2 linked regions of the Struthio camelus genome follow. The protein of the gene in region 1 interacts with the protein of each later gene in a pairwise test. Links are inferred from orthologs where the notes say so. Each region holds a gene or a part of one and is shown on either strand. Other genes may lie near its edges.

Region 1 (3,907 bases):
GGCAGCACAAAGGACTGGTGAGAGGACAAAACCCAGCTCTGCCCCAGCCCCAGGGCCTTGTGCATCTCCAGCATGATGCGTCTCTCTTCCCTTCCTGCAGTTCTCTCATCCTGCATCCCCTCTTTTTTCTCTTTGGCTCCCCTTTCCAAGGGAGAACCAAGGGCAGCCTGAGCCAGGGCCTCGGGGGCAGCGGGCAGCGGTGGCCGGCCGCAGGGGTGTGCAGATGCTGGGGTCTGGCCAGGGCTGCTGCTCCCTTGGGGTTTCCCAGGTGGCAGAGAGAGGACACAGCCCTCACCGGGGATTTCAGCATGGCGGGAGCCAGATGAGCTCCTGGCACTGCCGCTGCTGGCAGTTGGCTTGCAGCAGCATGACAAAGTGGGCCACGAGCAGCAGAGGGAGCTGGCTCAGGAGCACTGTCACAGCAGGGCTGGGTGCTGCAGGCACCACCGGGCTGGCTCCAGGGGTGCTCGAGGATGCTGGCAGCACCAGCAACGCTGCAGCTCCTCCGCAGCATGGAGCACTGCGACACGGGGAGGGGGGGGAAGCGCCCTGCTGTGTGCAGCAACCCCAAGGACCATCGCCTGGAGGTGCCCTGCGCTGCCCCGATGACAACAGGGACAGCGTGGAGCGTGCATGGTGCCCAGGCACCCAGCTGCATCCCTGCGCCCTGCATACTGCGCACTGCGCCCGAGGCCGCAGGCACGGTGCGCCGTGCAGCATGCAACACGCACCATGCAGCGCGCAGCGCATGCCGCCGCGCAACGGATGACGCCACGCACTGCGCAATAGGCGCCAATGCACCCTGCAACATGCGGCGCCACGCATGCGCAATACGCACCGCCAACCACGTCCAACCCACCTCCGGCCCCCTTAAGGCCTAGGCCCCGCCCTGTCGCCCTGAGGGAGGAGTGACGGCGGCACTGCCCAATGGAAAAGGAGCTCGGCGCTCGGAGCGGCCAATAGGCGGCGAGAGGGGCGAGCGGGCGGCCAGGCGACGGCGCGCGCGGCGGAGTCCCGGGACGCGCGGTGAGTCGGGGGCGGTGCGCGCTGCCCCGGCGCATGCGCGCGGCGGAGCCCCGAGGGGGAGGGGGGGCTGCAGGCGGCCCGCGAGCCCTCCCCGTTGCACCCTGCACCCCGAGCCCTTCCCCTGCTGCACCTCGCACCCCCGAGCTCTTCCCCTCTTGCACCTCCCTGTCCCCCCTGCATTCCCCCGAGCCCTTCCCCTATTGCACCCTCCCTGTGCACCCCGCAGTCCCCGAGCCCTTCCCCATTGCACCCTCTCCATGCACCCTGCAGTCCCCCAGCCCTTCCCCTAGTGCACCCTCCCTCTCCCCCCTTGCACCCTGCAGTCCTGCAAACCCTTCCCCTCTCTCGCCCTGCAGACCCCCAAAGCCCTCCCCTACTGCACCCTGCAGCCCAGCAAGCCCTCTCCCGCTGCGCCTCACTCTGCACCCTGTGCCCTAGCAAACCCCTCTCCTCTTCCACCCTGCAGTGCAGCGAGCCCTTTCCCCCTTGCACCCTGCAGCCTAGCACACCCCTTAGCACCCTGCAGTCCAGCACACCCTTCCCCTTTTGTACCCTGCAGTCTAGCAAACCCTTCCCCTACTGCATCCTGCAACCCAGCACGCCCCCCCACACCCCACATTCCCCCAAACCCTTCTCCCCAGGCACCCCACGCTCTGGCCAGCCCTTCCCCTATTGCACCCTGCAGTCCAGCCAACCCTGGCCCCCACAAGCTGGCGATTCCTTCCCTAGTTACAGCCCTCCGTGCACCCCACCGCCTGGCGAGCCCTTCCATTCCTACACCCCCCCAGGCATCCCCCAGTCTAGCCAAACCTTTCCGCCCTATATTTTCCAGTCTAGCAAACCCTATCCCCCCTACGTCCCCCAGCCTAGCAAACCCCTTCCTCCCTACATCTTCCAGTCGAGCAAACCTTTCTCTTATTACAGCTTCCCATGTATCCTGCAGTCGAGCCAGCCCTTCCCCTATCACGCCCCTCCATGCATCCCAAAGTCTAGTGAACTCTTTCCTTATAGCCCTCTATATGGCCTTCAGTCTAGCGAGCCCTTCCCCTACTGCCCGCCCCCCTGCATCCCCCAGTCCAGCAAGCCTTTCCTGTATCGTGCCCCTCCGTGCATCCCAAAGCCTGCTGACCCCTTCCCGTACTACTTCCCTCCGTACGGCCTGCAGTCCAGCCAGCCCTTCCCCTACTGCGCTCCCCTGGGCATCCCGCAGTCGAGCCAGCCCTTCCCGTATTGCACCCCTCCATGCATCGCGAAGGCTGGCGAGCTCTTCCCCTACTACCTCACTCCCTCCACCTTGCAGTCCAGCACACCCTTCCCGTATTTCAGGCCAGTGTGCATCCCCCAATCTAGCAAGCCCTTTCCCTGTAGCTCCCTGCAGCCTGGCGACCCCGTCCCGTATTGCACCTCGCCGAGGGACCCCTTCCCTTACTGCACCCTGCAGCCCAGCGAGGTGCCGCTCCGGGGCTCCCCTTGGTCTCCGTGCGCCCCCCGGGCCACCGCCGTCGCACCCCGCCTGCATGCCCTGCGGGTGCACTCGCCACCCCTGACCCTGGCGGCCCCGTGAGCCAGGCCAGGGGGCTCCCGGCAGCGTCGCCGGGCCGGAGCGCCATGGGGGAGGCGCCGGCGGCGGAGCTGGAGGCCGTGCTGAGCGGCGGAGGCTGGGACGTGGCCGAGAGGTACGACTGCTGCCCGCAGCCCGCCGGCCCCGCGCGGCTGCGCAGGAACGCCTGCTACGTCGTCCTGGCGGTGCTCTTCAACGAGCGGGTGAGAGCCCTGCGGCGGGAGCGGCGCCAGCCCCGCGCCCGGGGAAACTGAGGCAGCGCGAGGGGGGCGTGCGTCCTGCTCCCTCCCTCCCTCCCTCCACAGGACGAGGTGCTGCTGATGCAGGAGGCCAAGCCCGAGTGCCGGGGCAAGTGGTACCTGCCCGCCGGCAGGATGGAGCCCGGCGAGAGCATCGCGGCGGCCGTGCGGCGGGAGGTGCGGGAGGAGACGGGGCTGGAGTGCGAGCCGCTCACCCTGCTGGTGCTGGAGGAGCGAGGGCCGGCCTGGATCCGCTTCGTCTTCCTCGCGCGCCCCACCGGTATGTCCTTTTGGGGTGCGTGTGCTCGGCCCTAGCAAGCAGCAGGCTCATGCTCGCGCGTGGCGTGTCCCCTGCCAGCACCATGATGGCATATTGGTGTCACCTGCCAGTGTTGTGACAGGGTATTAGCATCCCCGCCAGTGCTGTGACGGGGTATCGGTGCCCCCTGCCAGCCCCGCGATGGGGTATCGCTGCCTCTCTCCCTGCAGGTGGGACCCTGAAGACGCTGCAGGACGCTGACGCCGAGTCCCTGCAGGCCACGTGGTGGGCCGGGGAGCCGTCCGCTCTGCCCCTGCGAGCCCCCGACATCCTGCCCTTGCTGGAGCTCGCCGCCCGCTACCGCCGCAGCCCCTCGCATCCCGCCACCCTGCCCCAGGAGCTGCCCTGCGCCCTCATCTGCTTGCGGCTCCTCGTGGCCTTCGCCAGCGACACTGGGGACCTGTGGGTGCTGCTGAGCACGGCCGGGACCCCCCACCTGCCCGTGACGGCCTGCGGCACGGCTGCCTCCGAGCCGCGCGGCGGGCTGCGCGCGCCGGTGCTCCGGCTGCTGCGGGACTGCCTGCCGCCGGCCGCGCCGAGTCCCGCGCTCCTGGGGCTGCTGGGGCTGCAGCACCGGGCTGCCGGCGCGGACGGCGTTTGCTTCAACGCCCTGCTGAGCGTGGCGGCCGGCCGCCCCGGCGCCGGCCCCCCCGAGCTGCGCAGCCCCGCTTTCCGCTGGTGGCGAGTGGAGGAGGAGGGCCTGAAGGGCAGGATCGCGCAGCGGCTTCGCGCGGCGGCCGTGGTGCCCGTCTACAGCTAGCT
Region 2 (3,907 bases), on another chromosome or scaffold:
TCCTAGACTTGAACAAGCATTTAATTTTTTTTTCCTCACATGCAAACTGGATTTTTAATTAATAGTTTTCCTGGTAAAATACAAAAAGAACCAAAATTCTAAGTTCTGAAAATTAAATAAGAGGATTTTATCCAACAGATTTTTAAAGGACAGACATAAAGGAAGTTAAAAAATTAGATACTCATTCACCTTCCATTTGTACCTAACTCACACCTGAATTGCATGTACCATCAAAACACATAAGCCTATCAACAACATACCTAAAAAAACTAGTGCCTTAATTTATGCCTGTATATCCAAAGATTATTCTTTATAACCGGAAATCATCAAGACAAGTAGAACATTGTGTTTGATGTGTCCATCTTATAGGGCCCACACAAACCTCTCCAGTATCTTAATACACCTAGACTTCTGTGTTCTTCATCACCCATCTTTCTGATTTTTAAGGAATTAACAGATCTGTCTGTAAGTCTTTACTGGACTACTATGTTCTTAGCTAACACTAGCCAAAACTAGTATACTTATAGCAAGTCAAAGTTAATGCCTATGAGTTAATACATTCCATTCTGTAAAATTATCAAAAAAAAAAAAAAAAGGTGGAGATAATTCTTCACCAGCTGAAGAGGCCATCCCCTCATGCATAATCAGAATAAGAAAAAAATATATATACTGGAAAAGGTGGGGGAAGGGGCAGATAAAAACAACCACTGCAGCTCACTGTGTCTTATTATCCAACTTAGAAACCAGGTATTTGGAAAAAGAAAAAAACCAACCAAACAAAACAAAAACCTTATCAACACAACATCCAGGAATGGACCCAAAAACTTTAGACACACGTCAAAAAAACAAGTGAAGAGGCTGCTCCTGTCTAAGTCATGACCAAAAGTTAACAACAACAGGATTTAAAAGTTTAGCGTTACAGAATGAAGAAGAGTTGAGAAAGACTAACGCTTTCATATTAAACTTCCACGATAGTGTCCCAAAGTAGCAAGTCGAGTCACCTCTCTCATACGTATCCACCTTTTTATTGTAGTATCACATCTTCTGCTTCTTAATCATTATAAATGAACACTCCTATGAATCAATGTTTCACAGAGGCTTCAAATCATCCCTATACGGAAGGAAACAACATAACATCCCAGAAGTTCTACTATCGCGTTTAGACCATGATTATGAATTTATATTGTCAGGTCTACCTTTGATAATCTTTTTCTCCTCTGATCACACTGAATGATAAAAAGAAATATGATCTTCCAATGGAAGCAGTTACACAAGGAGCATAATGCTGCAAGTAAGAGCATTTAAGGAGTTTAAATCATTTTTGATGAGCAGGCTTTTAAGCAGTTATTTTGTAACAAAGCTTCCTCTCTGTCAAATGCATGTTCCCAATTCACTATGATTAGAGGATTACTGCAGAGTCCATCCTGACCAAATACACACACTGCATTTAACATGCCTTTAAGATTGCCGCTATTCCACTAATTTCTTCAAAATTAAGAAAATTTTCAAAACTCTTCATTTTGCAACTTATCAACAATGTATTAGAGCAGAAGAGGACAATGTTACATGCAGAAACTGTACCAGTTGCTCTATTGCCACAGACTCCTGTTCATTTGTTCTATATGGTATTCACTTCATTCTGCTAACAATTTTTTTTTTAAACTATACTTTACTCAAGAAAGTACTCCAATAGAGCACACATGCATATAACTCCATCCACAAGGCCCTAAAGCTTCTCTCACCAAAAAAGCAGCAACAACTGTATCAGGCAGACAAGACTTTGTTGTAGTTTAGAACTTTGTGTTGCAGTGTGTCTGAAGCAAAAAAAAAAAAAAACCAAACAAACAACAAAAAACACCACATTGAAGTCTAGCTGTTTGACACCAGCTGAATTTCTGTGGCATCTTTTTTGATTACATACTTACAAAATACTGAAGTGCTATTTCTACTAAAAAACAAAACAGATAGCATGCCTATCACGTGTTAAATGCCCAGGGAAAACAAATCCCTGTGTTAACCCTTCCGCTACAGAAATATCAACACAACAGGCACCTATGTTTAACATACTATAACCCCAGGGAACAGATATTAATAACCAAAAACTCAGACTCCTAGATATATCCCTATCCGTGTTAGTCTGGAACGAAGATGTCAAAGAAACAAAAAATGAACTGGGCTGCATATTTGATGTGTAGTCAGCAGATCACGTGCCAAATTAAGTTGTTCTACCCATTATCCTTTCGAGAAACTATCCTCCTACCTCACTGCCCCTTATCGCTCACGTTACTAGGGCGCGTCTACAGCTTACTCCGGTTGAACTGTTCTCCCGGGTTTGCAAGAAGTTACCCGCGAGTCCGTTTGTCCCAAAGGAAGACAGCCCGCAGGCTCACCAACAGCTCTCTCAGGTTCCCGAGAGCCGCCGGATACGATCTGCCCTCCGGCGCGGGCAAAGAAGCCGCACCAGGCCAGCTCCCGCGAGCGGCGGCAGCAGTCCGGGAGGCAGGCGCCGCCGCGGCTCCCCGCCCGCCCCCGCGCTGGCGCTCGGGCCACGAGCACCCGGCCGGCCCCGGCACGGCCGCTCCGCACCCGGCCCCAGCGCCGCGGGATGCTGCGCAGCCCCCGCAGGAGGCCGCTCCGGACTCCCCTCGCAGGAGCCGCCCCCCACCTCTGCCTCAGGGCCCAGGCGGCCCCCGACTCACCGCGCCACGGGCTGCTTCAGGGCCGGGCGAAGCCTCCCGCCCCTGCGCCTTCAGAGGCCGGCGCGCCAACCCCGACGGTGGTGGTGGTGGCGGCGGCAGCGTCTGCTCCCGTGCAGTGAGCGGAGCCGGCGGACCCTGCGCGCCTCCATCGTCCTCTCCCCGCCTCCTCAGGAGAGTCGGCCCCAGAGGCGGGGCAGCGCGCATGCGCGAGCGAACGGCCCTCCAGGGCCGGGACGGCCCTCCGTCTGAACGCCTGCGCAGCCCGCCCTTCCGGAGCCCCGGCGGGCGTCGCTGCACGCCTGCGCCAACTCGGCCGGCCGCTAGGGCAAAGGGGCGCGTCACTGCGCATGGGCGGGCTACGCCCGCAGGAGAGGGGGGCGGTGGGGTGCGGCCTTGCTTGGAGGGCCCCAAGAACCCTTCTGCCCTAAAAGGTTGTCACTGCGCGCTTAAGATGGGGCCTGCTGAACAGGGCAACATTCAGGCCTGCCTCAGCCATCTAGGTTTGCAGCTCTCCAAACCAGTGGATCCTACTGTCGGCAAGCAGAGTAGCTGTCCTATATGGTGATGAACCCATGTGGAGGGGCCAATACGTTTCTTTCATTTTCACTACCCGATAAATGACTTCCTTGTTAGTTTGAATTGGAAAAATATCTGTAACGAATTAGTCTCCACAAAGGCTGCAAAAAGCAGAAGGGACCAAATGTTAAGAAATAGGCATGACACCTGAATGTCAGCTGCAAAATCCGTCATACCATCATTGACCGAGTGATGTTTCTATTAAGGATGATTAATTAAATCCTCAAATTAAACTGTCAACTTCTCAAGGCAAAGTTTTGCACTGCTCTGTTTTTGGTTTATGTATAATAATGCTCTCACCTCTGCAGTCATTTCTAAGCTAACCAATCACAAGTTATAACACATTTTAGATCTGTCCCAGATGTATCTGGGATGCAATGAACATCATTTAAATATTTTCTGCTATAAAATTCCTGTTTGGGAATGCATGTCACCTTACTGTATTTGAATCCTTCTCATCACAACTGTAAGCAAAGGATCCTGATATGCAAGCAGCTATCCTCCGGTCTGTCCTTGATTTGAAACCGAATTTTGAGCAAGAGTAAAAATAAAACAGAAAAGCATTTGATTTTAATAGTTGCTTGGACCTGCTTCCACCTGTTCATTTTGAATTGAGTATTCTGATGCCCAAT

Evidence for each region.
Region 2: the proteins of NUDT18 (region 1) and NADK interact in a two-hybrid assay, tested with the Homo sapiens proteins (2 studies listed by BioGRID and IntAct). The two-hybrid records come from large-scale screens. The link is inferred for Struthio camelus from reciprocal best matches to the Homo sapiens genes NUDT18 and NADK.

What each region holds. Positions count from the first base shown.
Region 1 is NC_090968.1:5,558,209-5,562,115, forward strand, and holds the start of NUDT18 (8-oxo-dGDP phosphatase NUDT18), read left to right. Parts: upstream 1-910; 5' UTR 911-1,026; intron 1,027-2,394; 5' UTR 2,395-2,634; coding exon 2,635-2,790; intron 2,791-2,892; coding exon 2,893-3,106; intron 3,107-3,315; coding exon 3,316-3,905; 3' UTR 3,906-3,907. UniProt on the Homo sapiens protein: Mediates the hydrolysis of oxidized nucleoside diphosphate derivatives. Hydrolyzes 8-oxo-7,8-dihydroguanine (8-oxo-Gua)-containing deoxyribo- and ribonucleoside diphosphates to the monophosphates. Hydrolyzes 8-oxo-dGDP and 8-oxo-GDP with the same efficiencies.
Region 2 is NC_090962.1:3,140,792-3,144,698, reverse strand, and holds the start of NADK (NAD kinase), read right to left. Parts: upstream 2,942-3,907; 5' UTR 2,700-2,941; intron 71-2,699; exon of another isoform or gene 1-70.